Linked DNA regions of Astyanax mexicanus. The protein of the gene in region 1 purifies or fractionates together with the protein of each later gene. This does not show direct contact. Links are inferred from orthologs where the notes say so. Each region holds a gene or a part of one and is shown in the gene's direction. Other genes may lie near its edges.

Region 1 (16,482 bases):
TTCAATCGTTTTTTTCATTCATTTTAAAATGTGTAGTTGTGGTCTCTAGTATGAATGAATCACATGTGAGCTGTTTTCTGTGAAAAAAAGTGCTCCGGTGATCCTGTATAATGCTGCTTTAGTCCTGTGGAGGAATGGGGAGAGGAATATTCATACATGCAAATATATCACCTCTGATTGGCTAACAGCACTGCGAGGCTGTGAGATGAACAACAGTTAGAAACAATGTAAAATAAAGACATTTTTACACTAATAGCAGTCTTTGCAATGGCATGTGTTTCTTTACAACATGTGTGATGCCCTGCTAGTCTTAGTCCTAGACTCTAGACCTAGTCTTAGAGTCTCTGTAAAACACAAAATCCACCGGAGATCCTATGTAAACACACAGAGGTCGGTAGTCCAGATCCAGAAAGTAAAAATCCACCTCTGTGTTGCTTTTCCTGATCGACTCGTTTTTCTGAATATTTTCTTTACCTAGCTACTGCAGAAAATAGAGGTTGTGCAGCATGCATAAACAACTCAGAAGGACACTTTTAGCGGAAGGACACATTTAATGGGAAACTGGTTGTCCTACTTTTTCTAAATAAATTAAATATTCAACTCTTCATCCATTGATATTCTCATCTGCTGTAAATTCAGAGGAAACTGGGGTACTGCACAGTAAATAGTTTCCTTATCACCATTGCAGTGTGAAAAGAATCACTTTTATTCAAAACGTTTATTATATATACAAGGAATTTGCTGTGGCGAGACACACATGTATGATATGAAACACATTAAACAGACCAGGCAAGAACAAAGACCTCTGTAAATGCTGACTGAAGTGTGTTAAATAAGAAGCACAACTAAAAGAACTACATGTATTATAATGTTCTAAAGATTTAAACGTTACAAATTAGGGGCTATGGTATGCACCAATGTGTTGGGGCTCATTAAAAAATATTTGCTGGTGCTGCCACACATAGGGTCTGTTGTAAATTATAATACCGATAGTAATAATGTATGGGCCTACAATCAGGGTTTAAAGGACTGTTTAATGTTACATAGAGTAAAAAATTTAAAAACCTTCATAGTTAAAATGTAATATTTATAGGTAATATTTGAAGCTTGCTTCAATTAAAACATTCAAACCACAGAGCATTTAAAATACCAACCGATAAACTCCTTTCTAACATTGACATTGACTGTTTTATTGCAGTTTTATTACAAAATGTATTTAATGTTTAATCTGGACACCTTCATTTCATTTGTTAATATACATCCAATCCTGCATTTCAGGCCTGCAAAAACATTAAAAAAAAATTCTAACACTTATAATGTTGCCCAGTATTTCTATAAAACACTTAAAAGACGTTTTACCACTTAGAATTACCAAGTAATTACTGTTTTAGGGGGTTATTTTGCCCATTATTCCTGAATACATGTCTTAAACATATGTTCTCAGGAATGAGGGTGCTATATCTAGTATTCATTGGAACGCCAACAAAACCGGACAAAATCTTTTTTTAAAACTCTTGATTTTGGATAAAGCAATAAATGAGCTGTTGCCCTAATACTTTTGTCCATGTTGAGTATGTCTGAGTGAAACTTAAAAACAAAAATCAATAAAAAAATGTAGTCCTATTATGTGGCATCATCATGTTTGTGATTGCTCTTTTTTTTTTAGCAGATTTTCATCAAAGTTTCTCATTTACTGGATCATACAAAAAGCAATAAGAAGTGTAATTTCCAATATGCTGCTTGGTAATGTTTGGGCAGCAATTTAATGATAGCTACAGCATTTTCTAAATTTAATTAAAGCAATTTCACATGTCCAGGAGGCACAGTGTCTGTGCTGGTAGTGGAATTACTGTACAGATTTATAAATGCTCTTCTCTCAAAGTATTTACTTGCAGTTCCCCCTGCTGGCCTGACTCTGTAATACGCCTCTTAACTATAAAAGCATACATTGTGATCTCTGTTGTAGAAATGTTTTTTTCAGCTATGTTGGGGAAACATTATCAGATTTTTTATGGCTTTGCAAGCCTACTGTTTCTGGCGGCCGCAGCAAATACTTTTACATTCAAATGACTTTTTCCATCTATTATGATTATTATTTTCAACTCCAAAATCAGAAAAACAGATCAAACGAGTTGTTGTAAAATGCACATATTTCAAAATGGCCAACTTCCTGTTGGGCGGAGTCAATCATACCAATGGTGACAATGTGTGTAATGATGTCTATTATGTTTCTGTAAAGTTTCATGATTTTTCAAACACCTGTGTTCTGACCATGCTAATGTTTCTATTTGGGCTAGTGTTGCGTCTCCATTAAATTAATTGCCCGCTGTTACGTCGTCATTTCAGCTATCGACTATTCCTTCGCAATTTATCACCAAGTATGTCTGGAGCCTATCCACAGACAATTTAGAGGTAATGTGACGAAAACTCTTGGAGGAGTTCGAATGAGTTCGTGAAAAATGTGCCGATTGCTAATATGTGCGGAATCATATTGTCTATGTTTCTGCCAAAAATCGAGAATATCTGAGAATTTTTGAGAAGGCCACGGCTAATTTATTAGCCCAACCAAATAGGGGGCGCTGTAGAGACATCTAGCTACACACAACAAAAATGACAATATATATTTAAATCATTTCGAGGCCTTATTGAATCTGCCAATTGTCAAGAGGCTGAGCGCTTTCCAAAAATGTCATACGAAATAGGTGGCGCTAGAGAGCTGATGACACACGAATATACAAAATTTCAATTTAAGGTCAAAGTATGGCCTAAGCCAAATAGGTCTGTAAAATTTTAGGAGTTTTCAATAATCTTAACCCCTCCGAAAACCAGCCGGAAACTTTTTTTTTGCGACTTCCTGTCAAAATGGCCGACTTCCTGTTGGGCGGAGTCAAATAAATCCAAGTGATCCTTGTTCTTTATGAGGAGGTCAATGAGTGTACCAAAATTGGTGCACATTGGACAAACTTCATCCCGGCCACTGCCGACGTTTGGGGGCGCTATAGAGCTCCTGAACCACACCAAAGTCCAAGCTCTGTGGAACTTTTAAATTTTCGCCAAGTTTGAGGCCTGTGCCACAATGCGTGAGTTTTCCAGTATCGGAAATGCCTCAAAAATGGGCGAAAGGGTCAAGAAGCGTAATAATAATAAACGGACCAAAAACAATAGGGCTTTGCACCTCCGGTGCAGGCTTCGCCTGCGCCTTCGGTGCTCGGGCCCTAACGAGTTGTCCCTCTGTCACAGGGGGACGTAGGGCCCTCGCATATCAGCGCAAATCGTACCGGGCCAAACCAAGAAGCTGGTGAAAGTTGGACCCATATGTGATTTCTCACGAAATGTACAGTTATATTGTAGCGGCCAATTTTTTTTTGAGATTTTGAGCATTCCCGTAATGTAAACTATGCATTGAAAGCTAGGTGGAGCTATAGATCCAATGAAATACGTATATATGAAATTTCAATTCCAGATCAAAGGAGAGCATAAGTCAAGCAGTCCTGTAAGGTTTTGTAAGTTTTCATCCATTGCAACCTCCCCAAACACTTACCAACACCAAGATGTATTCACTTCCTGTATTAATGGGGCATCTCAAGCAATTCAACTGTCCGCCATTTCGTTCTCGTTTAAGATATCGACTATCCCTTCGCAATTTATCATCAGGTGTCAGTAGTTTATTGCTGACAAATATCAAAAGTATTCGACAAGTTCCCTAGGAGGAGTTCGACAAAGTATGCAAAAAATGTGTGTAAAATGCACGTTTTTCAAAATGGCCAACTTCCTGTTGGGCGGAGTCAATCATATCAACCCTGAAAACGTGTGTAATGATGTCTTTTATGTTTTTGCCAAGTTTCATGAATTTCGAAGCAGCTGTGTTCTGACCATGTTCGTGTTTCTATTTGGTTTAGTGTTGCGTCTCCATTAAATCAATTGCCCGCCATTACATCATCGTTTCAGCTATCAACTATTCCTTCGCAATTTAGTATTTAGTATGTCTGGAGCATATCCAGACCCAATTTAGAGGTAATCTGACGAAGACTGAAATGTGTAAAAATGTCTTATTTTTCAATATGGCCGACTTCCTGTTGGGCGGAGCTAATACATGCCAATGGGTATTATGTGTGGCATCGTAGTATCTATGCTTGTACCAAAAATCGAGAACATTGGAGAAATTTTGAGACAGCTACAGCTAATTTATTAGCCTAAACCAAATAGGGGGCGCTGTAGAGTCATCTAGCTACTTATTCGAAAAACGATTACATTTTTCGAAATGATTTGAAAGCATTACTGAGTCTGCCAATTGTCAAAATTTTCGAGCATTCTATAGATGACATACAAAAAAGGTTTTAATTTTATTTCAAATGTCACCCTAAGCCAAGTATGCCTGTGAAGTTTTATGAGTTTTTGAACATCATAACCCCCCCAAAACCCAGCGGGAAACTTTTTATTTTGCGACTTCCTGCCAAAATGGCTGACTTCCTGTTTGGCAGAGTCCGATTAAACAAGTGATTCTTGTTATGTATGAGGAGGTCAATGAGCATACCAAAGTTGGTGCACATTGGACAAACTTTATCTTGGCCAATGTCGACGTTTGGGGGCGCTATAGAGCTCCTGAACCACGCCAAAGTCCAGCCTCTATGGAACTTTAAAATTTTCGCCGAGTTTGAGGCCTGTGCAAAAATGCCTGAGTTTTCGTGTATTGGAAAGGCCTCAAAAATGGGCGCAAAGTTTAAAAATAATAAATAATAATAATAATAAACGGACCAAAAACAATAGGGCTTTGCACCTCCGGTGCAGGCTTCGCCTGCGCCTTCGGTGCTCGGGCCCTAATAAATGCAGTGTTTCTTACATTTACTTTGACATTTACTTTGACTACTACATTGTAGACATTATAAACCCAAGATATTGCCTATTCAAACTAATCTTATTTTTGTCATATACATCTATTCCTGCATTTCAGGCCTGCAAAAAAAGTTAGAATGGTAAAGTGTTTTGGGTGTTATTTTGTATAATTACACTCTTATTATTGCTGAATGTTTATTAGATTGTTCTTCACATACTCTGGAAAAAAATAAAAGACTATGATATAATTGTGACATAATTATGATGTTTTTCCTTGATGTTACCAACTTGAAAACCTCTGGAATATAATCAAGAGGAAGATGGATGAGCCATCAAACCAAGCTGAACTGCTTGATTTTTTGCACCAGTGGCATAAAGTTATCCAAAAGCAGTGTGTAAGACTGGTGGAGGAGAACGTGCCTGAAAACTATGATTAAAAACCAGGGTTATTCCACCCAATATTGATTCCTGAACTATTTTTATTTTGGAATTTGGGAGAAATTATGTCTGTATTTTATACAATAAAACAACAATGTTCATTGTTACTCATACATATACCTATAAATAGCAAAATCCAGCCATGCCTTTGTATTGTGTGCAGCATGTGGTTTTGCATTGTCTTGTTGAGCTTAACGTTGACATGAATACGTCTCATCTATTAAAGAAAAGTGTTCAAGGGAGTTTTTTATTTTGTGGGGTAACAACAGTCAAATGCCATTTCTAATAATAATAATAATGATAGTAATAAACCAGTATGCAATTATTCAGAGCTAGATAATACTGACATACATCATTAATGGCATGTTATCAAATGCTTTTGTTTAGATTTATGCAGTCTAATATAAACTCATGTATTAAGCAGAAAATTGGAGTAGAACATCTAAACCTAAATAATAATATCAAAGTCAGTATCATTACAATATTTTAATTTTATCAGTTGATTTGTTTGATTGCCTGCAATAGTCTGTAGAGAGATTTTTCCACATCTACAAAGTTTAGTTTTAAAAAAATTGGAGAATTATCTGCTTCTCACCTTCCGAGTCATTTCAGGCACACTAAAAGATATTGATGTGTGGACTCTAGAGTTGTCAGTCCATTTTCTGAGAACAGCAGCAGCTTCTTTGTTTGATTTCTTCTTTTTTTATCTTTTCTTTTCTCAGTAAGAACATCTTTATCCACTTCACATCCTTTCACACCTGCAGTGTTGAGGCATTTTCTCACAGTGGTGGGATGGACAGAATCACATGTGGTTTCATTTTCAGATCTAAAGCAAGAGTGGAGCTTCATTTTTCTTTGTTCTAATAGCTTTTAGTGCTGTTTATCTGATGGGAACAGTGGTCTGCCAGATCTTGCACAATATAGTTTACAGTTCCAATTCTCTGTATTTTAATCCTTTTTTGGAAACTCTGTTTTTTTTATTGTTTTATTTTAACCTTGTGTAAGCAGATTATGTAATTTTCTAAGAAATACCTAATAATGAATAACCTGCACTTAATGGCCACTTTGACCGGAAATTAAACAAATAAAGAGTCCTTCTGACCTTTGCACAGGTTTGTGTATCAGACACTGGTGTCACTTTTTGTATCTTTTTTTGCAGTTGTTGGCAGATTTAAAACAAGCAACTTCCAAATTTCAACATAAGCAGACTTGTTAAGGGACATTTCCTCTTTTATTTAAAAGTTAAATTGCATTATCATTATTATAAAGGTTAAGTTGCTTAGAGCAGATTAATTTTTATGGAAAGCTTAAATAAAGTATAATATAAACTAAACATTTGCTTAAGTGGAATCGTAAAATCATATGTGCCTTGCTGAAATAATCGGTATGGTCAGATCAACCTGGTAAAGCTGGGTTAGCTTGTTGACCATAGTAGCTCTTGACCAGAATAGGGTATGTTTTTGTTTGAGTTTGATGGTCTACAAGCATGATCAACCACATCAAGCTAGACCACCAGCATGACCACACTGTTTGACCAGCATCACCAGTATCACCAAGTTACTCAACTTGCAAGGCCATTCCCTTTGGCCAGAATGACCAGCGTGACCAAATATAAAATGCAATGCTGGTCTTAATTTACAGCAGGTGTTTCAGGGAAAAGTCAAATGAATATATAATGTACATTAAATATGTACTGCTTGCATTCATGTCTGTGATTCACTGACCTGTAGGCACATTACATATCTGATCCATGGACATACAACATGAATGTAAGCGGTCAAATCGGAATTCATGCGTCTTTTGCTTTTATGCATGCGCTACGTGCTTCTCTCTCGTACCCACACATCTCTTGGTGCAGCTGAGCAGCTATAGCTGCAAAACAGCAAAAGCAAGCTGCCTGGGCTTTTTTCACCTCCTCGACCTGAGCATGTACTTCAGACCAGCTGTTTGCTCTCCACTCGAGCAAAGATGCTACACATATGAGCTGCTATTGCATGCATTTTCTTTTATAAAGCTACGAGTCTTCTCTCAAATATGACACTTTTTATTGTTTGTGAAGACAGCGACGTTTATACAGGTATGTGCGCATGTGAGGCGTTTCAGAGACAGATTTGTTCACATTACACAGAGATACAGGTCACTTACATTTGTGACTGTAAACCGTCATATCTGATCTGGGCAACAAAAAAAATATGAACGTAATATGAACGTAGCCTAAGTGGTTATTTATTTATTTTTTTATTTTCTCCCCAATTTATACGGCTAATTACGCAACCCACTCATTAGGACTCCCCTATCACTAGTGATGTCCCAACACCAGGAGGGTGAAGACTAGCACATGCCTCCTCCGACACATGTGAAGTCAGAGATCACCTCTTTTTGAACTGCTGCTGATGCAGCATTGCTGAGAAGCATCACAGCGCGCTCAGAGGAAAGCGAAGTAACTCATTTCAGATACATCAGCTCACAGACGCTTTGTGCTGATCGACATCGCCATTGGGAATGATGTGGGGAGAGAGCGCCATCTACCCACACAGAGAGAGCAAGGCCAATTGTGCTGTCTCAGGGCTCCAGTAGCCGATTATAAGTGGTTATTTAAAGTTTAGTTTTTTTACTGACTTAATATTGCAAATATATATATATATATATATATATATATATATATATATATATATATATATATATATATATATATATATATATATATATATATATGCTGTTTTTATTATAATTTTAGGTGGCTTCTTTAACTAGATTATTTTACCAGACTAGGAGAAAATCCCAAAATCAGGTAAAGAATGAGTACCGTCTGTTTTTCTCCCCGCTTTGCGCATGCGCGGCGAGATTGTGTACATTCTTGAGCGAGAAAATGATGGCGGTTGTCCAAATGGTTAAAGAGCCCAGCTTACGATCAGATGGAGGCTGAGAGTGAAAAGTGAGCAGAACAGTTGGGAAAGATCGGTGTATTCAGGAGAGGACGCGCTGTTCGGTTAAAGCCCGGCCGTTTCTGCTCGGATAAGCGAGCGGACGATGTTATATCGGGGGATTTCTGCAGTGTTGAAGCTCGGGGAGCTATCAGCTAGCAGCCAGTAGTAATTTTGTACCGCGGGGGTTTAGCTAACAGCAGCGAGCCACGTAGCTTATATTTAGCCACACAGCTAGGTTAGCTAGTGGACTGACTGGCTGGCTTGTTAGCGCTTCTGCTGGCTAACTAGCTAGGTTTCTCAGCGGTGCCTGCTTGGAAGACCACTGGGATATAAGCATATTTCTGTGAATACTGCCTCCATTTAATGCTTTTATCTGTAGCTGAAGAAGCAGGACGAGGAACAACTGCGGTGAGTGAGTAGTTGACTTGTTACTTTGCCATTAAAGGTAGCTAGCTTAGCTAGCAGCTAACTAGCTTTAAATAACTAACAAACATTAGCTCGTATGTTTACACGCACTGCAAATTGCTGTGAGCACATAGCCCAATTTCTGCATGATACTGATTTTAAATAAGGTAAATTAGCTTACTAGCTACCGTGCATGCAGGCAGCTAACTTATATACCTAACGTTACCTGACATATAGTTATTTAGCTAACTAGTAAGTTGGCTAACATGGCATAGTAATTCAGCTTTACTGTGGTTATAATAACAGTAATAATAATAGCTACAATAGACCAGCAAATAACTAGCACCTTCAAATGCAAAGTGAACAAAACATCAGCAAACCTAAGACATCAGAAAACAAACAGAAAACAAATAAACAGGCAGTTTAGCTAAGCAAGTTTAAAGCAAAATGAATTAATAAAGTTATTTATAACTTAAGAGTGACATCAGAAAGAAAACAGCAATAACCCATCAAATAAAAGACAAATAAATGCTTAAAATGCTTCAAAGTGCAAAAGTAGCTTAGTAACGTGTAAAGATAAACATGGAAACCAGTTAAGTAATAGCTGGATAAAAATAAAAACAACAAACATTAGTTTATAAAGTATTGGCTGATTAATATAAGAACCAGAAAAATATATAACCACAAAAGCTAAAAAACGTTTTAACCATAAAAAGTATACAGTACTTCTTCTTCTTCCACTCTTTTTAAATTTTAAACGAGCAATCTGGAAGAGGAGGTTATTAGTAGATGCTCTTAAGACATGATTTGGCATAGCTGTCAGTATATTTAGCCAGCTAGCTAGCTAGCTAAATCACTTTTATCAGGTGAGAATGTGGTAGCTTAGCTGTCTGAACTAAAGGAAACCTGTAATGCACACGTCAACGTTATCTGTGAGCTTGCACTGTTGCACTTTGTTAGCTAACGCTAGATAACTGGCTGTAACATGTTGATAGTTGTCTAAGGCTCTAAGCTTTAAAATAAGCTATAATTATTTCAGTTTGATTCACATCCCTACATTTTTGAAGGGGGGGATGTAAGAGTCAGCCTGTTGAATAGCCAAGATAGCTAGCCTAGCTAAGTGTGGGTATAAAAAAACACCAGATGGGCACTTTGCTCCCTCTGTCTGTGTGTGAATAGTTCTGCACTAACTACTCTACATAGCTAATTCAACTGATTATACAGCACATTTTAAAGGAGCAATAAGTATTAGCTAATATATTTTCTGTACAAACTCCAGATACTACAGAAACCTGTTAGCCAGGTTTGAGCACTAGCATCTCTTCATAAACAGGGTTTCAGCCAGTTTGATGTTCTTCTGTGAATCTTCCATTATGGAGCGAAAATCTGTGTTGTGGCCTTTAATCCTGCCCACTGCCCCATTCCCCTATCCTATTTCTGCACCCTCCGGGTTGCCAGGTGTGGAATTTAACTTGATGCCAACTTGAAAGCCAACTTGATGAGCAGTAACAACATTAGATCATTCAAAAAACTCCTTGATTAGAGTAAAATGAAAATGTGTATTGACTGTGTGTTTGATAATGGGGGCAACTTAAAACCCAGAAGGACTACAAGACGGATGCTGAGCTGGCTAATTTTCTCCTGATTGAGTTGCTAAGCTAAGCTATGTTATCTGTTGAACTGAGCAGCATGTTCTCAGGATCTGTAAAGTAGTAGCTCCATTTATGTATTACATTTTCCAAAGGCAGTAGGCCTTTTCAGGGTCACAGACTTAGTTTTGCTAATGCATCCAGCAGTGACAGAGTTATAAAAAGTCTACATTAGCTTGTTTACATTGTGTCAACAATAAAAACATTGCAAACCAATACATTAGCTAATCGACTCACACAGTAACCTGTTGCTTGCTGTTGCAAAAGTTCTTAAACTCGTCTTATGTTTGATCAAATTTGTTCAACGACCACAATTTTTCTGTTGATTAATAAAAAGAAGGTGAAATATTTATACTGAACAATGACATTTTCTTTGGAAAACATGACAAAAATACTTTCAGGCTTTGTCATTTTTGCAAAGGTTTGAAAGCCTTCATTTAATTTATTTTTTTTATTTTGTTAGATCCCTAGTTTAAAAAAATATATTGTTTTGTTCATGTTTCAGACATAACAGCTACTGCATTTGTCTTCCTTTGTGGTCATAATATATAATGATTATATATTTAATCTACACAAGTAAGCATCAGTTGAAAAAGTGAGGCCGAAATTAACGTCAGTGTTTCAAAGCAGTTTTACTGGAGGAGCTTTAGCAATTTCTGTTGGTGTCACTGTTTAGATCTTTCCAAGAGGAGTGAATCATGCTGTAGACCAGAGGTTATTGATTTGTCAGTCTGGTGATTTCTTTTCTCAAGCACACCTACTGAAACTGGTAATTAACTCACAGGTTAAATCTGGTATTTGAGCAGGACAATCACCAAACTATGTTAGTCTTTGACCTTCTAGAATTGGTGATCCCTGCTGTAGACATTGCAGGCCTTTGTGTCCGTCTGCATTGCCGGTGTAATGCCTCACCGTTTTGTCACATACTTGTGCTCTAACCAACACAGTGTCCATTTGTTTCTTTTGAGGGTGCACATTGTGTGTAGAGTAGCAAGCTTTTGTGTTTCCACAGCAGATTAGGTTGCATTTAATCCTCCTCTATATCAGTAGGCCGAGATTTGGCCTGTTGCCAAATAGTGATGAGAACTTCACTTGCGCCGCCACGTCTGCAGAAGTGAGATTAATGATGCCCAACCTCGCATGGGCCTGTGCTGATGTGATTTGTTGGGGCTTGAGCTCTTGATGAAAAGTCAGGCTAACTAGGAATGGGAAGAGCGAACGGCAGCTTGGGCTGGTTTTATATGCAATGCTAAGTTACTAGCTTCTAGCCTCCTGTGTAGACATACTTTGTTGTCTATCATTTAGTGTTTAGTCAAAATCAATACCTGGTGCAACAGTTTCAAATAGGGATGCAAAACATGGGAATAATGTCTGCATTTACTTTCAGAAATTACTGTTGATAAGATATTTAGATTTAACTTAAGTTTGAATCAAATATTTGATGTATTGAATCCAGAAGAGCTCATGTTTAAGCAGTACTGCACCAGACTTTGTATTTTATTAATATATAGTTTTTTAGCATGTGTACATAATACACTTCTGGATCGTTCTACCCTCTGTGTTGTTGCATCTGCAGTTTCAGCAAAGTTTCAGTATAGTGTATGAACATTTATAGAGCCCTCCGGTCAATCTGCTCAATCAAGGCAACTATTGCCTGTAATCAAAACTAAGCATCTCTGTGCATCCTATACAAATCAGTGTAGTGTGTGTAATTCAACATTTAACACACAAAATAGAGATTGTCTTTTGTAATCTTGATCTAGGAATCTTAAATCATAGCTGACCTGGAAATACTTTAAGTATTTCCATCTCATTCCATTGTTTTTTTTGTTCATATTAAAATGTCTATTTGTGATCTCTTTTATGAACGAATGCCATGTCAGCCGTTTTTTTTTTTGTGAAAAAAATTGCTCCGGTGTTTCTGTATAACCCTGCTTTAGTTCACTGGATTAGTGGTCTCTGAAGAAAGACAGGATTTCGGCTCTTGCTTATATCGCCTCTAAATGGCTAACAGCACTGCAGCAGAAAAAGCCCCACTGTCAATTTTACAGCTCTAAAACTCCAAGGATAAAAATGTTTTCAGAGATACAGCCTTAGTTGTGAAGATATAGCACTGAGTGCTAGGAAAAATGAAGTCCTAAACTTAACTTAACATCAGATTCTCTGCGTCGCTTGGCCGCGGGGTGAGCAGCGTAGCTCGCCTGAGGTGTAGGCAGCGGCACTCGGCCGCGGGGTGAGTGGCGACTGCTGGTCGTACTGCTCAGTGGCGCTGCTCTCCCTGCGGCATTGTCAAACCGTGCTTTCCTAGTGTACATTTAAGGTCTCAGTAAAATGCGGAATCCACCGGAGATCCGATGTAAACTTATAGTTAGTTACACAAGATAGCTAACATTAACAAGCTGGTGTAAACAGAGCTGTAAGCTCTTTAGCTGATGAGACTGTGTCTGCACTGCTGCAGCCCAGGTTCAGCTCTGTGGGCGATCCCGTGCCAAGTTGGGCGAGTTGTTGCTTTTTCTGATCCAGTCGTTTTTTTCTGAGTATTTTCTTTTCTTAGCTAATGCAGACAATGGGGTTAAAGAACCGTTTCATGTGCAGCATGCATATACAACAAGAAGAGACCTAAAAATTTTAGTGAAAGGAGACCTTTAACTTGTATTTCCATGACATAACTTATGTGGCTATTAATTGCTAAAACAGTATACTATATTAAAAACCTGTAAAAATGGTTCACATTGTGGTATGTGTGTTAGAGATTGGTTTAGTGCCGTTTCCTGCAGTTTATCTGAAGGACTGTTTGTAACCTGAAATGGCTGTGAAGTATGAGCTGGCCTAGTACTGCAGAATTTGGGCTGATATGACGCAACTGAGCATCACAGACTGCAAGTGTGGACTGTTTTAAATTATGTAATGTCATGGTGGTGGAGGTGGTAACAGCCTATTCATCATAGCCTTGTGTTTCTCGACATGCTCCTAAACTGACAGTTATATTTTCTTTTGGCCCATTTAGTATGAGTTTGCCTGAGTACTATCAGAGTAAATCTAAAGAACAATTTGAAAATCATTGAAATTTACCATATTACTTATACATGTAAATTACACAATTACACATCAGAGAAGTTAAAGTAGTATTGTTTAATATTCCTCTAAGAAGGAGCTATATACAGTTTTGTTATCTTCACATATATAAATTATTTTCTTCACACCAAAGTCTGAAACTGACTGCAATGCTGTGTACATGTTTTGATTAGAGGCTGCTCTTTCTCTGCATTATATAGGATGGGTTAAAAACAAGCCAGTCAGTCAGAGCTCTTCTGTCATGGTTGCAGACCAAAATATAAAGAGAGCAAAAGCAGACAGGAAGAAGAGAAATTTTTTTTTTAAATTAAAGAGATTTCGTAAATAGAGTACAGAAGACAAAAAGATGTACCAGACTTTTTTAAGGTTCTGCTATATTTACTTTGTAAAAATTTGATTAATAAAAGAAGTCCTGTGTGAGTTGTATGAGGCCCACTGGTGTAGAGCCAAAAATGTCCGGTTCAACAATGCGTTATGTATATATTCAGACTACTCTGGTTCAATGTGTAAAAACCGCAGAAACTGAGAGGATGTTCTCTTTTCGGGGATGTGATATGGGCCAGATGTACAAAACAAAATGACTGAAAAAGCTACTGAAACCAAGTACTGCAAAACGGAAAAGCGCCCAAGATTTAATCACTGAAACCGAAATCTAAAGATGTTCAGACAAAAAAACGAAATCTGTTAATAGCGCAGAATTGTTAGGCTTCCTTAGATTCCATGGTAAAAAAAAAAAAAATACTGCTGAGGCATATCTTAGTAAATCAAAGTTTTAAATGGTTAGGCTATATCTCATAAAGGAGTCTTTTCTGGACTTATAAGATATTGCTGTGCCGTTTGGAGCAGAGCCCCTTCGGCACAGATCTCTCTGTGTATATTAAGTGGAATTAGTCTTGGCTAAATGGGGGAAACGTAAGGAATGGGATTTTTGTAGACCATAAAATAATATATTTGACTTTTGAGCTTATAGATGGTCAATTTTTGTTTCCTTCTCATATTCTTTTCTTCGTCTGTCTCGCTTTGGCTTATTTTCTACTGCAGGGCCAGATGGTAACTAAGGCCGGGCCATACCGTTCTGCGCCTGGGTGGACCCATTAGCCCAGTTACAGTGTTTCTTTCCATTTTCTTTGCAGTGTTGAATCAGATCAAGGAAGTGCACGGGGTTTCATCAGTGGTGGTAATTGGATGTATTCGGTTTTATTCCTGCATCCTAACCTGTAAAACAAACATATTAACTACATGCAGAAAATAGAGAGCTGTGAGATTTCACTAGGGATTAGTGCTGGACGGTGTGACCAAAAATATATATCACGGTATTTTTCAAGTTTCTGACAGTTTTAGGGTATATCATGGTATTTTTATTTTATCTTATTTATTTATTTTTATTTTTTGTACATGAATGGGCTTTTATATAGGTTTGTGACTTTCTTTACTGTTAGGAGTATATACAATTTTACACATTAAGACTTTAAATTAAGGCTTTGATTACTACTGGGTTTACTTTGTCACTAATAACTAAACACTAATTTTGTGTTATTTTTACTCGCTTTGGAATTACAAACTTTTCCAAGCGTGAACTACTTGAAATTTTGCACTAGGAGTGGTATAAAGTTATCCAAAAGCAGTGTGAAAGACTGGTGGAGGAGAACATGCCAAGATGCATGAAAACTGTGATTAAAAACCAGGGTTATTCCACCAAAGATTGATTTCTGAACTCTTAAAACTTTAGGAATATGAATTTGTTTTTCTTTGCATTATTTGAGGTCTGAAATTTCAGATATTTCTCATTTTCTGCAAATAAATGCTCTAAATTACAATTTTATTTGGAATTTGGGAGAAATGTTGTCCGTAGTTTATAGAATAAAACAACAATGTTATTTTACTCAAACATAAACCTAAAAATAGCAAAATCAGAGAAACTGATTCAGAAACTGAAGTGGTCTTGTTTTACAGAAGGTAAAAGGCGTCAGAATATTTACTGACATGGGTGTGCACAGTGAAAACGTCTGACCTATGACATGTGAAAACTGTGTATTCAAACATGACTAAAATCAATGAAAACTTTGTTAATAATTACATTTCCCCAACTTCACATGAAACTAACTAACTAATCCTGTCTGAGTAAAACCTGTGACTGTAATGTTTGGTGAGTGGATATGGGGTATTCCTGATTATTTCACACTTGCACAGAAAGAAGAACCAAAGGAGAATAATAATTTATTCTAAGTAATTAAGAGACATTTTTAGGGGGAGTTTTTGGTAGTTTTTCTTTGTCATTTGAACGACTGGTATTGATTGTCATGGCTGATGAGATTTCTAGAATGTAAGTTTAGTTGAAACTGTAAATTACATTGTGTGGATGTGATAACTGACAAAACAGTAGGGCTGCATCTAATGATTATTTTGATAGTCGACTAATCTGATAATAATTTTTCCAATTTGTCAACGATTATTTCTTCCATGTCCTCCATCTCTAAAAACAACAGAAAAACAGCTAAACATGAGATTTAAAAGGCATTTAAATGTCCAGATGCTGTTTAAACATGGAGAGTACAGATATTTAGTGAGTAGATACTATTATCTAATCTGGCAGTTTTAGAAAACAGACCAAGTTGAGTGTAAACTGTGTGAGTGAGCCTGTATAGAACTTTGTGGAATGCGGTCCTGTTACGAATTAACAATTAGTCGACAATAAAATTTGTAATCGACAAATTTAAATAATCACAATTTTCAGTTATATTGACTAATCGTTGCAGTCCTACAAAACATTGAGTCAAAGGTTGCAGAATGATAATTCAGAGTTATTACTAAAATAGTCTGGAGATTGAAAATAAAAGGTTGGCTGACAGAAAACACTGTGAGGAAAGCAAAAATGCATGGAATTCAGAATAAAGGAACAGAATGAAGCCTTGGGCAGTCCAAAACAGAACATGGGTTTTCCCCAATGAAACATCTAATCAAATCAAAAGTAGCTCTATAGTTGCCATAGTATTTTTAATTTTTTTGTGGCTGGGGAAAAAAAATGATGATGTTAAATATTCCTGGTTTGAAATCATACACATGTACGTACTTACCAGTACAGAGTGTTTTCCCCCCTGAAAAAAATGCCAGCAGTCCCAGTCTGGGTGGGCTAAAGCTGCTGTATTTCAGGACTG
Region 2 (16,611 bases), on another chromosome or scaffold:
ATGAAAGATGGATGGAACATTCTAGTTCTATAACTTGTGCAGGTAGTTAACGTTCCTTAATTCAGAGTGTCATATACTGTATTTGCTCAGAATGTGTCACAGAAGACATTCTCACCCACAGTGACTGGCTGCATCTGGTTAAAATCTCTGTGTGAACAGAAAAGCGACTTTGACAGGAAATCACATCCACGTTCAGTTCAGAAAGCCCCACACACACATCCTGTAGGTGAGTGCAGTGTTTTTTAGCTTGCGTTAGACATGAAAAAGTCAATATTAGTTTGGCTTATCAGTGTAGTTTGTACGTAAAAAAAATATTGGAACATTTTTGCCATTAGATTGTAAGTGTTAAGGATCTGTATCACTATTAAAAAAGAGAAAAGTTTCATCCCTGTTTTCACCCTTCACTTATTTCTGCTCGTCTGAGCTCAGTTTCAGATCACAGTTTGAGTTTTCAGGAGAACATATGGAATAACAATAGCACAGTAAGTGGATGCCATACCAAACCGATGCACTTACTGACTGACTGACGGCTCTGAAAGAGTATTAATGTGTTTCCTACCTCCCAGACATCATTACCAGTGGAGTGATTAAGTGAACCCTTCTTTCCAGTGTCTGTAGTCGTGTGTTGGTGAGCTTATGGTATTAGTCATCTTGCTGTTTTAGCTGGTCTAGGCTGTTCAGAAAGGCTGGGAGGTATTCAGGCTGGAGATATTAAACCAATCAGAGGAGGAGGAAGAGGATGAGGCCAGCAGACAGTCACGTTCCTCTGGGGAAGCCATGACATTCTGAGCTCATACTAAGTAAGGTAGTCCTCTGGGTTTTCCGAACCAGGACTGAAGAGTTCTGTACTTGGCAGCAGGCCAACTGCATTCCCGTTAGCACCACCTTACACCCCAAGCCCACATACACACACATACACTGATACACTGTGTTTTCTGAAATGATGGAGCTCTGCTCAGTGCCTGTGGAATGATTAGAAGTGGTGTTTATGACCCAGAAATATGATCCAGTCATCCATCATCAGGACCTCTCCTCACTAAGGAGGCTTTTCTGCTGCATGGTACTTACCAGCAATTCCAGCAAGACCTGTAACTAATTCCAAAATCATGATTTGAGCATTGGAGGAAACAATTCTTCCGACATAGGAAGCGTTTAGAGGCTGTTATTTCTACAAAAGGAGGATTTACTAAATATTGATTTAACTTTTTCTGTTGGGTACCCAGAATTATTGCACACTTTCTGTAAATCCTATAAACTTTATTTCACTTGTTAAGTACCACTGTGTTTATCTGCTATATATTATATTTAACTGAAATTGCTGATCAGAACAACCAATGATTTATAAAGGAAAATCCTGAAAATTATCAGGGGTACCCAAACTTTTTTTTATACCACTGTATGTAGTGTACCCGTTACATTACAGCAGCTTTATTTACAGCTGTGTTGAGCGGAGAATGATTCTTTCTTGCTTCTAGTCTCAGTGACAATAGTAATAATAGTAATGATTACTAAGAATTGCTGCATTTAACCCAGTGCCATTTACCTTTCCTGACCTTGTTTCTGTGCTATTGTTGCGCTTTTTTCCTCTCTTTCTTTTTAATGCATTTCTATCTTTATCACACTCTGTCATAATCCTGTTTGTTGTGCCAAGTCAGAACCATTAAGATGCCATTTACTCTGTTGACATGCTTAATTTGACCTCAGCGAGGGACGTCAATAGAGGGCCCCAAGTGTCCTAATGTCTTTTAATGCTCATGTGCTCGTGTTCCGTGTAGTCAAAACCCCGAGGCCTACATTCCGTCCAGCCTGTCCAGGAGATGATGTGATGTTTCTGCAGTGAGGACGGTGCTAACTGATAACTGGTATGGCCCAGCCGTCCCTGCGTCTCTGAGTCTCTGAGGTCACGGAGGGTAGGCGGGTTATGAATATATGCGGCTGTGAGTCACAGGGTGGAAAGAGGGGGAAGAAAAGAAACATGGTTTTGCGTGGACATCTGCAAATGTAGTGGAGTGTTTAATGTGTTAATGGCCTCTGTGTGTGTGTGTGTGTGTTTGTGTGTGAGTCCATGTGCGTATGTCTCCTCCAGTGTGTGTTTAATGTGTTAATGGTTGCTGGTTAACCATCCGTAGTATGGACAGTGACTCACTTCCACTTGGCCGAGAGCCCAGCTGCAGCAGGTGGCACAGCTCCTCCTGAGAATTAAAATCTTCACCTTTGGACAAACCATGGTTTGGTCTGCTTTCATTCTCTCTCTCACTCTCTCTCTCTCTCTCTCTCTCCTCCCTTCAGTGTGCTCTTGATGTTCGTTTATTCTGTTTTGTGCATCTGTGCTCCAGACTGCTTGTTAAAGTTCATAGGTCTATGGCTGGTCATGCTTTAGCTCAGTGGCTTTTGTCCTAATCAAGAGATCTGAGCATCACCAAACAAAACAAAAACATATCTGATGCTGGAACACAGATGACTGATCAATAGATCAATAGGACTGCAATGATTGGTATCAGTCAAGTGGCAAACAGTTTGAATTCTTGAAAATGTCTTAAGCTCTTTTAGATGCTATTGGTTTTACCAGATTAATCACAACAATATTCTGACATTAATTGTGATTAATCGCACTGGTCTTTCTTACAAGACTTATGCGTTTAATAATGCATGTGTAAATGTAATTTAGAGAATGAATGTAAAATTGTGAAATGAATTAATATTTATATTATTGGCGTCAACCACTTAAAGGCATCATTCCATCATTTTTTCATAAAATGTCTAGTTGTGGTCTCTAATATGAATAAATGCCATGTGAATCGGGTTTTTTTTTGTGAAAAAAAGTGCTCAGGTGATCGGGTATCGCACTGCTTTAGTCCAGTGGGGGAGTGTGCGGGGAGAAACGAGAGGATTTCGGCTCTTGCTCATGCATGCAAACATATCGCCTCTGATTGGCTAATTCACCCCACACTAACCCACTCTGCACCCTGCACTTTACTTCACTACACATCTGGATTTACATCTGTCCAATGTGTCTATGTATGTATATGTATATGGAGGAATGTTAAGTGTTTAAAGTGTTTAAAAAAGTTTTTTTTCCCCCTATTACTGAGAAGGACTACTCACCCAAGTGTTTTACTCACTTGAATACCTGTTTTTTAATTGTGGTGATGTGGTAAGGCAAACTGAGGGATGCACAAAAAATAATTTTTTCACTCCTCTGAGATTATTTTGAATGCTAAAACTGTAATATAACGTAACGTCTTTGTTCACAGGAAGATTTTTGAATCAATACATTTATGATGAGGTATAACTGTCGGAGGACGTCCTGTGTGATGACTCATTTCTCTCGCTCTCTTTTTTGTTCCCCAAAAGGGGAAGTAATGATGATGTCACCAGTGTTTGCCAATGTAATGTCATAATTGGAGGGAAAATGCTCTCCTCTCATTTCTTTATGACTTTTTTTCCTCCTTCATGATAAGACTTTATTAATGTCACCTCCAACAATATGTCATCTTCACAGACAGGCATCTCTGGTGACAGCACGTTTATCTGGTGCTTTGTGCAGCAATATACTGCGTGCATGACTCAGAGCTTTTGCTCTTTCAGTGTGAAAGCGTCTTCAGTTTCCCCTGCACCTGGATATCGTCTAGTTTTGAGGTCAGAAAATGACTTGTCCTCTTACTCAGAACTTGCACTAATTAAAACGGGCTTTCCGTAATGACAGTAGAAATCCACTGACCTGCTCTTTGTGAGGAAGTAAGTCAGTATGGCCTGCGGGGACTGAATTGGATCAAGCTCACACGTGGCCTGTAGAAACCATCCCTGACAGAACAAAACTTTGTATCTTCATAATGGTAAGTTAACAGGAAAAGCAGGGGTGTTTTTCAGTTTCATGAGAAAAAGCTGTTTTGGGACACATTTCTGGTGGTCCCTACATCTTCAAATATTGACATAGTGTAAAAAGCAGCTAGCATTTACAGATGATCTAAATAAATACAGAAAGTTCAGAGGTTTATATAATTATTTATATAATATCTCAATTGTACTTTGGTTTTCCACAGACATTCCACAGACAATTCCTTAGCTCAGAATTACTGGGCAAATCATAGAACACTGATGTGTTATTTGCACAAATAACACAGGAACAAACTTCCATGCTGTTCCTATCGCTGTTAGCTCCTGTCTGACAAGACAGTGTCGCTGCCTGGCTTTTGCAACAAATTAGCCTCTACATGTTTGTAACACGTATGTAGGCCATAGAGTATAATACTCAATGACTTTATGATCAATTATCAAAATCTGCTAGACGTGTTGCACCTAGATTTGATTAAAAAAAAAACACCTGAATATTTATCCACATTTGCCTGTGATTGGTTTAACTTGGATATTTTTTATGTCTCATAGCCATGCAGTTCTGTAACAGCTTCCTCCCCCAACACAACAATTGCATATTAATTGTTCATACTGAATAATTTTTGAGTATGTAGTACAGATATATGTTTAAGGTTGAGTACTATACTCAAATATCCAAGATGCATACACAGAATTGGTTGGTTGTTACATTCCACAATGCAGTGCAACATCAAAAGACAGGGGCAAGTGATGTCTAGAAAAGTTAAGGATTAAAAATGACAGATAACTTTAACAGATAAAATTAAAGTACAGCAGCGTCAGCACTAGGAGAACTTGCAGTGACTTACAATACGAAACTCAATCACTTTCTTAGTACAAAATGTGTAAGTAACATAACACAGCAGGAATCGGCCATGAATTTTTGCCGCGGGCCAGCTATTTTTCAAGCCACAAAAAAACAAATGTTTTGCAAAATGAAGTGTAATGGGATGGAGTACTACAGACTAGTAGCTCTCCAGCCCAGAGGGTTTCTGAACCCAATTGCAGAACAGTTGAATTCAAGGCAGGCAAATCCAAGAAACAAGGAAATAAATAACCTGTGTCGTCAGGATCGCGGTCCAATACACTACTGCTGCCCTGGCTAGTAAATTGGGACACGACTGGGGAAAAAAGTGCCCTTATAAGGAGATAGAAAGCCCAAAAACGGGTGGAAAAACGAGAACAGGTGGAAACTAAAGTCACGCTGAGAGCAAAACAGAGAGATAAGGGAGGAATGTAAACATAGGCTCGCCAGAGAAGCATTTTATTTTTTTTTTGTTTCATTTTTTCATTTTGTATTTATTGTTCATTATAATTCCAACAACCTTACGGGCCAGATGTTTCATGAGCCACCTTTTGCCGACCCCTGTAATACAGGAAGATAATAAATCCTGCACCAAACAACTGGGGTTATACATACTGTAGGGTCCATTAGATATACTCTACTCTAACAAGATCCTCCACCTTACAGCTAAGTTGCTGTGGCAATTTATGATCCAATCAGCAACTCTTTCACTCTAAAATTCTTGCATCCAGACTGCAATTGAAAAAACAGGACCAGAATTTCTTTTTACTTTATCAATCACATGACATCGCGTTCAGAAGCTCCTCCATTTCCACTCGCTGTTGTGTTTAAGTGCGTAGTAGTGGACAAATATCTATTTTTCCGGAGGAGTTCAGTGAAAAACAGTAGGTAACTCAACCCCTAATTTTCTCAAGAAGACGTTTGAGAAAAACACATACATGGTCGTTCCGGACAGGAATAAAATCACAGCGGACCCCCCATAAAAAAGAAAATTACCCCAGGACCCCTGTCAGAATAGGGCTTAAGCTTAATCTTTGTCTGGAAAATTGCCCTTGGATGCATCCCAATTTATGTAAATTCAAAAATCCACAATAAGAATCATTTAGTTTTTAAGTGTGTGGACACAAGACACTACTACATCAATAGCTACTCATTGGCTACTCATATCTGGAACAATATTAGAAACAAAATAGAACTTGCAGTGACCTACAGTATTTACATAATGTGCATCTATTAAAGTTAGTGTACAGTAATGCACCTTCTAGTATTCGTGTATAGTTCACATAGTTCGCAGCCACTGTGTTTCTAGTTCCTCTGCAGTGAGCTGTGAAACTGTGGGTGGAGAGCGAGAGATAGAGAGTGGGAGGCAGAGTTAGTATGGGGGCGACCCAGGGATTACCCCTAAAACGGAAGTAGAACGGAGAACGTTAGTAGACACAGTAGTCAGCACAACTGAAGACACAGGGACATTCCAATGATTGCTCTTTTCTTTCTCAAAGCCCCCTTTCCTTTTCTTCAGATGTCTATCTGCTCTTCTCAGCAACACTGAAAGAAACCACTTGCTTCCTGTGAGAAACAGAAAGAGGGAGGTAGACGAAATTAGGTCAACTACATCTAAGAGTGAGGAGAATTCCTATCAACTAGACCCAGTTATGTACAGAAACTGCATTAAAGAACGTCATATTTCTCAGTTCATTCACTAACTCGTACAGACCCCTCTGCTACTGCACTTGTGGCTTAGTGGTTTATATGCTGAGATACTGATAATGAACCCTGTGGGTTATGGGTTTAATACCCGTGTCCACTAACCACTAAGCTCCCACTGTTTGCCCCTTGAATATGGCCCTTAACTTCTCTGCCCCAGAGACTTTGTAACATGACCCATTGTTATTCTGTACTGAACAAGTATAAATAATAGTAAAGATACTTTATTACAACTACTGAAGGACAAACTGAACGGTGTGTTCTTTTGGTGTTCAGTGCTGGGCTTTGTCAGCTATACTAATTTAGAAATCAGGTAAAATCATGGACACAACAGATACTGATGGAAGATTCTAGTCCTGGGGTACCACTGTCCTGCAGAAATATGTGGTTTTAATCAGGAGAGGACTGTTATTAGGTCACAAAGGTCAAGACTGAAAAGCACTGGCAATATACTATTATGAATTCAAAATAAATCTACTTGGCTACTAGAATGTTTTGTAGATCAGTGTCATGGTAGTTTACATTAAATAAGCAGCACAATGCAACTCTTCATTTATAGATTGATCTGGGACGTGGCATATAAGGTGTAAATCAAACCCCTGTTGAGTGTGTAAATATACATATACATCTATTCTATTAATCTACTCTAATTTAGAGTAATTTATAAAAACACACTAAACTCATTATGGATGCTATTTTCATATTTCATTTTTTTTTATTATTTTACTAAGAACACGCAGTGTACATAATTTTAATAACAGTTTACATATGACATGGTGGCTGGATTAAGCTGGATGGATCCTGTATAACATGAAAAACGCCACAAATAAACAATGGATCATCTGTTCTGTGGAATTACATGATGTAATTTCCTCTTTGTAATATCTTTTAAAACAACAGTACATTAGGACTGTTTGATATGTTAGAAATTCTGCCTACTCACACAGGATCCTAAAGCAGGAGGCTTAGCTTTATGCTAATAATATGTAGCAGTGAGCTGTCTATACTTTCGCAATATTAGGACATATTGTTGCTTTAGTTGCCATATATATACACACACCTTTTCATTGAATGATTTTTTTCTATATTTCTTTATTTATTTTATTTCTACATTTTAGATTATTAAAGACATCAAAACAATAGAGGGGCGCATATGGAAAACCACAATGACATTTTACTCAAATGTATACCTATAAATAGTAAAATCAGAGAAACCGCTTTTTGAACTTTTATTTATTTATTTTATTTATTTATTTTTTTTTTTTATCATAAGCCATCAAACCAAACTGAACTGCTTGAATTTTTGCTCCAGGGGTGGCATAAAGTTATCCAAAAGCAGTGTACAAGACTGGTGAAGGAGAACATGCTAAGATGCATGAAAACTGTGATTAAAAACCAGGACTATGAATTGCATTATTTTAGGTCTGAAAGCTCTGTAATTTCAGCTATTTCTCATTTTCTGCAAATAAATTCTCTAAATTTAAAATATTTTTGTTTGGAATTTTGAAACAATGTTGTCTGTAGTTTATAGAATAAAACAACAAAGTTCCATTTACTCAAACATATAACTTTACCTATAAACATACCTGTCAAGTCTCCCGTTTTGGCCGGGAAACTACCGGATTTTACTCCTCTTTCCCGCCGTCCTCCCGTATTAGTATTTTCCCGTAAATTTCCCGTATTATACTAAAATAAAAAAATATATATTATTGAGGAGACAGGGCACTGACCGCTCTCTTAACCAATCGTGGAGCCGGTTCAAGGAGAAAGTCCCGCCTTTCAGGAGAAACAGCCAATCAGCTTGCAAAGGAGGGTCAGTGTGGGAAAGCCCCCCGTCGCTGTGAGTTCAGGCAGCTAGTTAGAGCAGCTGATGTTAAAACATACATGGATATACAGCAATTTTTCTAAAAGAAAGGTAACGGTAGGCTAATCATGTAAACTGTGATGAGATTTTTCTGATAGCTGCTTAAAAATACAGCTTGTGACTTTAGAAAAAAATACAGCTTGTGACTCTAGAACTAGAAATGTGGAGAGGACCGAAATTAACTGAACTGATCAGGGGTGGAGTGATCAAAAGAAAGAAGTATTCATTAAAAATTATTTTGTAGGCCCCTTAGGACTCATTTTACTGATGGAACATATCTGGTCCATGTCCTTTTAGTAAAAGCTCATGATACTATTTTTAGTTAACCTACAGTCATTTTGCAGAATTTGTGCACTCTTTGTTCAATTTTAAATCCATTAAATAAATAAAAAATATATCATATAAAAGAGTGCATTTATTACAAAAAGACATGAAATCTTTTTTTTTTTTTTAATATATAGAAAAGGGTATTTAATTTGGCTGTATTAAAAGAATGACATATGTAGGAATGTCCACAACATTTCAGATTCTGATAATCTAATTGTAGTGTGTAAGTGGTTCACTTGTGGTTATTTTAGATTTTTTGTAAACCTGTCTTAAAATGTAAGGGATACTGAACCTTCGTTGGGCTGGTGGGACGGTTTTAGGAGTACAGAGGAAAATATCCCTTATTCTTAAATCTAAAACTTGACAGGTATGCCTATAAATAGCAAAATCAGAGAAACTGATTCAAAACCTGAAGTGGTCTCTTATTTTTATTTAGATATATATGTGTGTGTTGTTGTTTTTTTTTTACAATAATTTAAAGCACATGTCATGCTGGACAATATATTTTGGAAAATGATATTACAATACAAATATTGTAAAATTACATACTTTAATTTACTCTTTAGAAAATGGTGTTTTATCTTATATAGTGTTCTCAAGGAAATTTTAATTTAAAAAAGTAAACTGGAAATACAGTTTGGCACATTTTAGCGCGTAATGTATCTCACCAGTCGCTGCGTGTTTAAACAGCTCGGGTGTAGTAGAGTGACTCACTCACAGCAGCTATATTTACCACAGTGACGGACTGAGGGCAGATCTGAGATGGGAAATGTGGAAAGTTTGCTAATTAAACGCCATAAAAAGATTAGTTAGTAAGTGAATGTAAATAGCATATATTATATATTATCTATTAAGAGTACCGCTGGGAATAAAATATCCGTATTAACTCTAATAATTAATCATGAAAATCCACTGAAATCACGAAACTACCAGGTTAAAAAACTGTGAAGCACGACCTGCGCGCATGGTTACCGGGCAACGCCAAAAACCTGCCCGGCCAATCAGGAGGCCGCTGCGCGCATTGATATGAAGTCTTGTTAGTTTTTTAAAGTGCGCGGAGAAAGCGCTGTAGTTAGTGCGAGCAGTGCGTAGCAAATATCACTGATTTACACATACACACGATCTAACCTTAATCCTGGTTTAATCAGCGAATACGGCTGGAGTGCAGCACGCACTACTACTGCAGCAGCAGCAGCACGTGTATAGAGAAATGTAGTGCGGCGGCGCGGTGGAGGGCGGTGGGTGTGTGGTTATATTTTTACCCAGTGAACTCTTCGGCTTAAAAGAAGGCGGTGCAGCTCTTCAGGCCAGAAGCGCAGGAGTCTCTCTGTAGAGCAGCGAGCACGCGAGTGGATGGATGAACGGATGGAGGGCTGGATACTGAACCTTAGCTAGCTGACGACCGTGTGGTGCTGTGTACTTAACTTACTGGGTTGAGGACTTTGCGAGGATTCACGTGTTTACAGCAGGTTTGAGAACTACATCTGTATATTTTTATACTGATACATTTAATATAACTTCGTTAACCTAGGTCACTAAACCTTGTCTAAAGCTCGTGGCGTGGTGTTGCCCTGCTGAAAGAGCCAGGGCAAGACCGGCTGGCCATCCAGAGAAAAAAAAAAAAGCTTAGGCTTTGCTGGGAGGCTAGCTCGTTAACTAGTTATTTGTTTATGAATAGGTTTTCTCTGAATGATCCGCTGGATTTTTAGCAGAGTGGTTTTAAGTGTAGGGTGTTTGTGTCAGGCTGATTGAAAGTTTTAGCTAAGGTTTTTGGGGTAAACTTTGGTTAAAGTTGGCCTGGTTTTAGTTAAAGTTAGTTCACTGAGCTGCTGCCTGTTTCAGTCGTGCTGAATCAGGGTAGGTAGATGGGTTAAGTTAGTGATGGCCGCTGCTGAATTAGAACTATTCCTGTCAGGTTTGGACATGAAGCCAGCCTGTAAAGTGGTTTGGTGTTGTCTCTGTAGAGCCAGAGTGCATGTGCTGCTCGCTGTTCTCACAGGGCATTTAACTCATTGTATGGAGTTGTTTTGCTCGCAAATGCTAGTGAGTTCTTTGGAAGGTTAGTTAACCTTCTATGGCAGTGGTTCTCAAACTTTTTAGGCAGTGTTCCACAAATTCTTAATTATTTCACGTAAATTCAATATACCTACTGAAACATGTCGGAAAGCTTAAGACCGAGGGAAATAACAGGAGTGTGAGGCAGAAAAGTGGACTACACATTCTACATGGCACCCCTTTGAATCCTAAGTTAATTATTTTACAATTATTATTAAAACAGAAACTATTATGAATGGTGTTCATATGTAGGGCTTTGAAACAATAAAGAACTAAAGTGTAAGCTACCAGGTTAAACAGTAAACACCAAAACACCTGATATTCTGTAAATTAGAGGTCAAAACTCGTTACGTTTCAATTTTTTTCATCTGGTGTAAAGTTACCACCCTTAAATTATGTGTACCACCAGTGGTACACCTACCACAGTTTGAGAACCACTGTTCTATGGCATTTTAATTGATATACTTTTTGGGAGGACATTTCATTAGGTATTTTATAGCAAGGAAGCACGCAAAACCAAAAGAGATGAGAACCACTGCTTTTATCATGATTATTTTAACCTAAAAGTTAGAAGACTGTAAGAATATAAACGGACACATATTTAAAGAAGTGTATTTTCTGCACATGGACACTTATTTATGACACACTAGTATGCCTTATTGTATTGAAAGTAGATGTGCCATGTAATTTATGATTGATATAGATTTCGTTTTTCGTTTATTCGTGTTTTTTCCGTCCTGGTTTGGATGGGCTGTAAACAGCAGTGCTCTCCTGCGTGTGTGTTCGCGTTCGCGGCGCTGCTGAGTCTTCTCGATTGTTGCTGAAAGCTGCTGTGTCTTTCTGGAAAGTGGGGGAGTTACTGTGGGCTTTTCTTTTCACTGATTTTCTGGTGCTGTGGTCCAAAGGCAACACTTTTATCACCGTGACTGAGAGTGTTGTCCAACCTGCTTTTTGCTTGTAATCCGTCTAGATATGGTGTATCTAAAAGTATGCAGTCCTGATAAACGTCAGAGCTCATTGGTGTGTTGTGGAGGCGTTTGGTAGAAACCCGTTCATTTTCCTTCCAGCTCTTTCTTTTTAATTTTTTGTGCTTTAGGTTTACCCTACAGTTTTGTGTATTTAATAATTAGTTTAATATTGATGATATTATTAGTTATTTTATTGTGCCTTTTATAGAATGTACTTTTATTTTGAAGTGCCTTGGTGCTTTTAAATGTAATTTTTTTTTAAATGAATATAAATGATAAGTATGTAGTTTAGGGCTCACTGGTTTGGTTGATTTCCTTCCAGGCAGTTAATTATTTTTTTTCGTTGTTTTAGGTTTATACATTTGAATATTTAATTTTAAATGGTTTAAATTTCTTTTTTTTTTTTTTTTTTTTTTTTCCCTCTTGCCTTTTTTAAACACTCTTATTTTGAAATGCTGTGGTGCTTCAAATTTAAATGTTAAAATGTAGTGCAAGTTGTTTAGCATGATTTTTTTTAATTTATAATTTATTAAAAGTATTTTATTGATTTTTATTTATTTGTTGCAGTTTGTCTGAAGGAACCTCAAGGAAGGCAAACATGGCTGAAGCTTCATCCAGCAGCGAGAGCGAGTCTTACAGCGTACTCACCTGGGACCAGGTGAGCCGCCTGAACGAGGTGCTGACCGAGGCGGTGCCGGTCCATGGCCGAGGCAACTTTCCCACACTGGAGGTCCGGCTGAAGGACATTGTGCAGATGGTGCGTAACCGCCTGGAGCAGAGGGGCATTCAGGTCAAAGACATCCGCTTGAATGGCTCTACAGCCAGCCACGTCCTGGTGAAAGACATCGGTTGGTGCTACAAAGATCTAGACATCATTTTCCGAGTGGACCTCCCCCAGGAAGCACAGTTCCAGCTCATCAAAGATGTGGTGCTGGGCACTTTGTTGGACTTCCTGCCAGAGGGGGTGAACAAGGAGAAAATCACACCCATGACCCTAAAGGAGGCTTATGTGCAGAAACTTGTGAAAGTTTACACCGAGCAGGACCGCTGGTCCCTCATCTCCCTTTCCAACAACAACGGCCGTAATGTGGAGCTCAAGTTCGTGGACTCGATCCGCAGGCAGTTCGAGTTCAGCGTGGACTCCTTCCAGATTATTCTGGACTCACTGCTCTCATATTATGACTTCTCAGAAACCCCCATGTCTCAGCATTTCCATCCCACTGTGCTTGGGGAAAGTGTGTATGGTGACTTCGCTGTTGCTCTTGACCACCTCAAGAACAAGATGATCGCCACCAAAAGGCCAGAGGAGATCCGTGGGGGTGGGTTGCTGAAATATTGTAACCTCCTGGTAAGGGACTTCAGGCCCACGGATGAGGAGGAGTTTAAAGCTCTGGAGCGTTACATGTGCTCTCGGTTTTTCATTGACTTCCCCGACATCGGTGAGCAGCAGAGGAAACTTGAGGCCTACCTGCAGAGTCATTTTGTGGGCGAAGAGAAGAGCAAGTATGACTACCTCATGATCCTGCGGCGAGTCGTGAACGAGAGCACAGTGTGCCTCATGGGACACGAAAGGAGGCAGACTCTCAACCTCATCTCACTCACAGCGTTCCGGGTGCTGGCAGAACAGAATGCCATACCAGATGCATCCAGTGTCACCTGCTACTACCAGCCTGCGCCTTATGTCAGAGACTTGAACTTCAGTAACTATTATGTGGCCTCATGTAACCAGTCCATTCCAACATGGCTGCCGTGCAACTAAGACATTCAAAAGTAGATGTTTCGTTGTCAGGGGGAAGAAAATTAAATATAAAGAGTGGCCATTAGGCCATATGTGCCATTTTCCCCTGCAAGCATAATATACATATTTAAAAGGACTATTTGCTTTTTGTGTTTTTCCTGTTCCTTTTTTTTTTTTTCTTTTTTTTTGGGGGGAGCTTATTTCTTATCTGCAGAAGGGTTGAGACCTTTGGATCCAAAGTGATTATATTTTTAGTGCTTAGATTACATTTATATATACTGATGGGTATCCTTTAAATTTGGTTTGTAGCTTATATTTGTGTCTCTAAATGGAGTAGTTCAGGCCTAAAATCTTATGTGCCTTAATGCTTCCCTAACACAGATGGAAAAAGAAAATATACAAAATATAAAATCTTCAGGGGAAAAAAAAAGTTTGAGGAACAGTGTTTGATATATTTCTTGCGATAAAATGAAAATGGAAAAAAAAATCTATGAAAAAAGTTTAAAAACTATTAAATGTAAATTGGAAAAAAAAATACAAAAGGCTTTTGGGGAGAAAAAAAAAACGAGCACAGGCCTAAACAGCAAATTCCAATATGCTATGAGGAGGGTTTTTTTTTGGGTGTGTTGTGTTTAGTATGTGATGTCTCCCCTCTTTCATTCCCTCCCCCCTTTTTTTAACCACTACTGGTGAGCTGCTGATATGTTTAAAAGCCTTTGCCTTTATGTGCATTTTTATCTTTTCCTGTTGCTCTCAGCTAATCATTAGTTCTAGTGGGGTGAAGGGATCTTCATGCTTCTGTTCTGATGGTTACAGGTGTGAAAGCGTTGTGAGTATGGCATTTGCAGTGTGCTTCAGTCTAACTCCTCCTTTACTGGGTATTTTTAGTGTTCTGGGTATTACATGCTTTCGGCGCTGTACAGCTGCTATCTGTAAGCTTATTCAATCATGCGTAGTTTGTGTAGTTGCTGTATAGCCCGGGTCACAGTGTAGTCACTGAACATGGCAAGAGCATGGTTTCAGACAAGTTTGAAATGAATAGTGTAACATGAGGGAGGGTTTTGGCTATGTCAGCTGCAGCAAGGGGTAGGTCTGCTACCTTTTTGAATGACTGCCCTATGCAGGAAGTCGGTTCTAAATGAAAGCATGAGAGAGAGAGGGTGTGAGTGAGTTAGTGAGGGAGACAGAAAGAGTGAGCAAGGTTGTCCCTTTCCTTAAAAGGGTAAGGCTGTGGGTGTCCAGTCCTCTTGAGTCTATCACGATCCTTAGCAGGCTTTGCATCGCTCGCTGTGTAACGAGACTCCACGCTGGTGTCACACTGCTCTATATTTATCCAGTGAGGAGCACGGGTTGGGGGAATGAGGGTGGGAATATGCGTATGTGGTGTTCCACCTCGTGTGAGGGGTTAGTATGCTCAGCAGTGGGGCACCCTTGTCTGGTCAAAAGTAAAAGAAGAGCTGAGCATGGTCATGTTCATGGAAACACTACTTCGTTCCAATTCTGGACTGCTTTTTACTGACCACTGTTAATGCTGTGGTTTATGTTTCACACACAGCGTCAGCATGTCTTTATCACACTTGCATTATGATTTAGAGCTACTCCTGTCACATCTTAGATCGATAATCATGCCAGATCATATTAAATGGCCTAAATTGTTAATCTGTACAATGTGGGTAGACCCAGGTATTGTCCCAGGATTCCACTGCCTGCCTGAAAGGCCTTCTTCTGCCCTCATTAGCTTACTCGGCACATAAAGGTGAGAGAAATGCTGGAGATCCCTCTGGCTGCCCTTACGTAATGGCTACAGCTAACAGCTGCCCCGATAGCCCATACCAAGGCTCTGGCTTCCCCCCCCCCCCCCCCCTCTTTCTCTTCTCTCTGCAAGAGCGTGCACACACAGCTGCTGCCGGTTCAGCATGCACAGGCACACTAGCACACGCTCTGATAACCTGAAGAGCTGGACTTGGCCTCTTATCTGCTTCACACACAGACTTTGGGAGGGAGGAGGGGGTGGGTCACAGTAGCCTCTGCTGCAGGCCCCGGTCACACCCCTAGGTCAGAGCAGTTTGAACCAGAGTTTGTCCTGCTTTTTGCTTCTTTTTTTCCCCCTTCTTGTCTGGCTATCAGTTATTGTTTTGTGTGTAGAAATTTAGACTGTGGACCAGTGTTTGAACCAGCAACAAAACACAAGTGCCTTACTGAGTTTGTGGCAGTCTGTTTTGAGTCTATGGAATATGAGCATTGACTGAATTACCACATTTTGTATTTTTTTCTTTTTTTTTGTTTCTTAAATTTGTTACATTTCCCAAAAACGTGCAAATGGAATTTGAATGGGATTAGAACAAGTGACCTTATGGATCTAGTTCTTTTTGGTGTAATGTGAAAAGTGCCACCTTAGTTTTTCTTGTTGTCTGTGAACAGCCTAAACGCTGCAATACTGCTACCCAACTTTTCTCAAACCTAGTTGTCTAGTCATTCCAGTAATTGTTGCTTGTTTGAGGCTGTGTGTGTTTAACACCCTCGTTACCTCCCACTCCACCACACCACCAAAGCAGAGCATAGAGCACTGAGCAGTTTTTGCCATATGAGGATGAATGACTGACTCAAACACCCCCAGTAAACAGATGCACTTTAAATCTTACTAACCCAGGTAGCTGTGGAAGCATAAATATAAGCTCTAAATGAGGCCGGGACGAGGCAGAGGAGGGATCTCAGGGAGATGGGACATGTTTGTGGGATTCATGTATCTTTAAACTGTGGCTTATACCCTAATTGGTCCTGCCCCGTTTGTGTGTGTGTGTGTGTCCGTGTCCGTGTGTGTGTGTCCGTGTGTGTCCGTGTGTGTGCGCGCGTGTGTGTGTGTGTGTCCCAGGATGTGTTTTCAGAGGAGAGTATGTATTATGTAAATGTCATCTCCTGCCTGTGCTGCATTGTTGTCTGCTTTGCTTCTTTCTATGTGTCTGAGTTTCTTTGGCTGTCAGTTCCCCATTAGTGGTCTTGGTTCTGTGTCAATATTTTAAACCACCACCACTTAAAAAATATGTAGGATGTGAGGATTAAGACCACTGATGTGAACAAATGTGATCTGTAGATCAGTCCTGCTGTAGCTCCTATTGATCTGCTCGTGATTGGCTCCTAAACCCGTCATTCTCAACTCTGGTCATGGGTTGCCTCTACACAGGTCCTACAAATGTTGTCCAACTAATAATCAATCAGTAATTAAAAAGCCCTAAATTGGTGAGGACAAAGGGTGCTACAGGACCACAGTTAAGACCGT

What was found.
Region 2: the proteins of fndc3a (region 1) and tent5c purify together in Homo sapiens (affinity purification with western blotting; 3 studies listed by BioGRID, with this or other methods). This does not show direct contact. The link is inferred for Astyanax mexicanus from reciprocal best matches to the Homo sapiens genes FNDC3A and TENT5C.

Annotation. Positions count from the first base shown.
Region 1 is NC_064425.1:22,181,997-22,198,478, reverse strand, and holds the start of fndc3a (fibronectin type-III domain-containing protein 3a), read left to right. Parts: upstream 1-8,129; 5' UTR 8,130-8,610; intron 8,611-16,482. UniProt on the Homo sapiens protein: Mediates spermatid-Sertoli adhesion during spermatogenesis.
Region 2 is NC_064418.1:25,925,430-25,942,040, reverse strand, and holds the start of tent5c (terminal nucleotidyltransferase 5C), read left to right. Parts: upstream 1-9,600; 5' UTR 9,601-10,042; intron 10,043-12,163; 5' UTR 12,164-12,194; coding exon 12,195-13,355; 3' UTR 13,356-16,611. UniProt on the Homo sapiens protein: Catalyzes the transfer of one adenosine molecule from an ATP to an mRNA poly(A) tail bearing a 3'-OH terminal group and enhances mRNA stability and gene expression.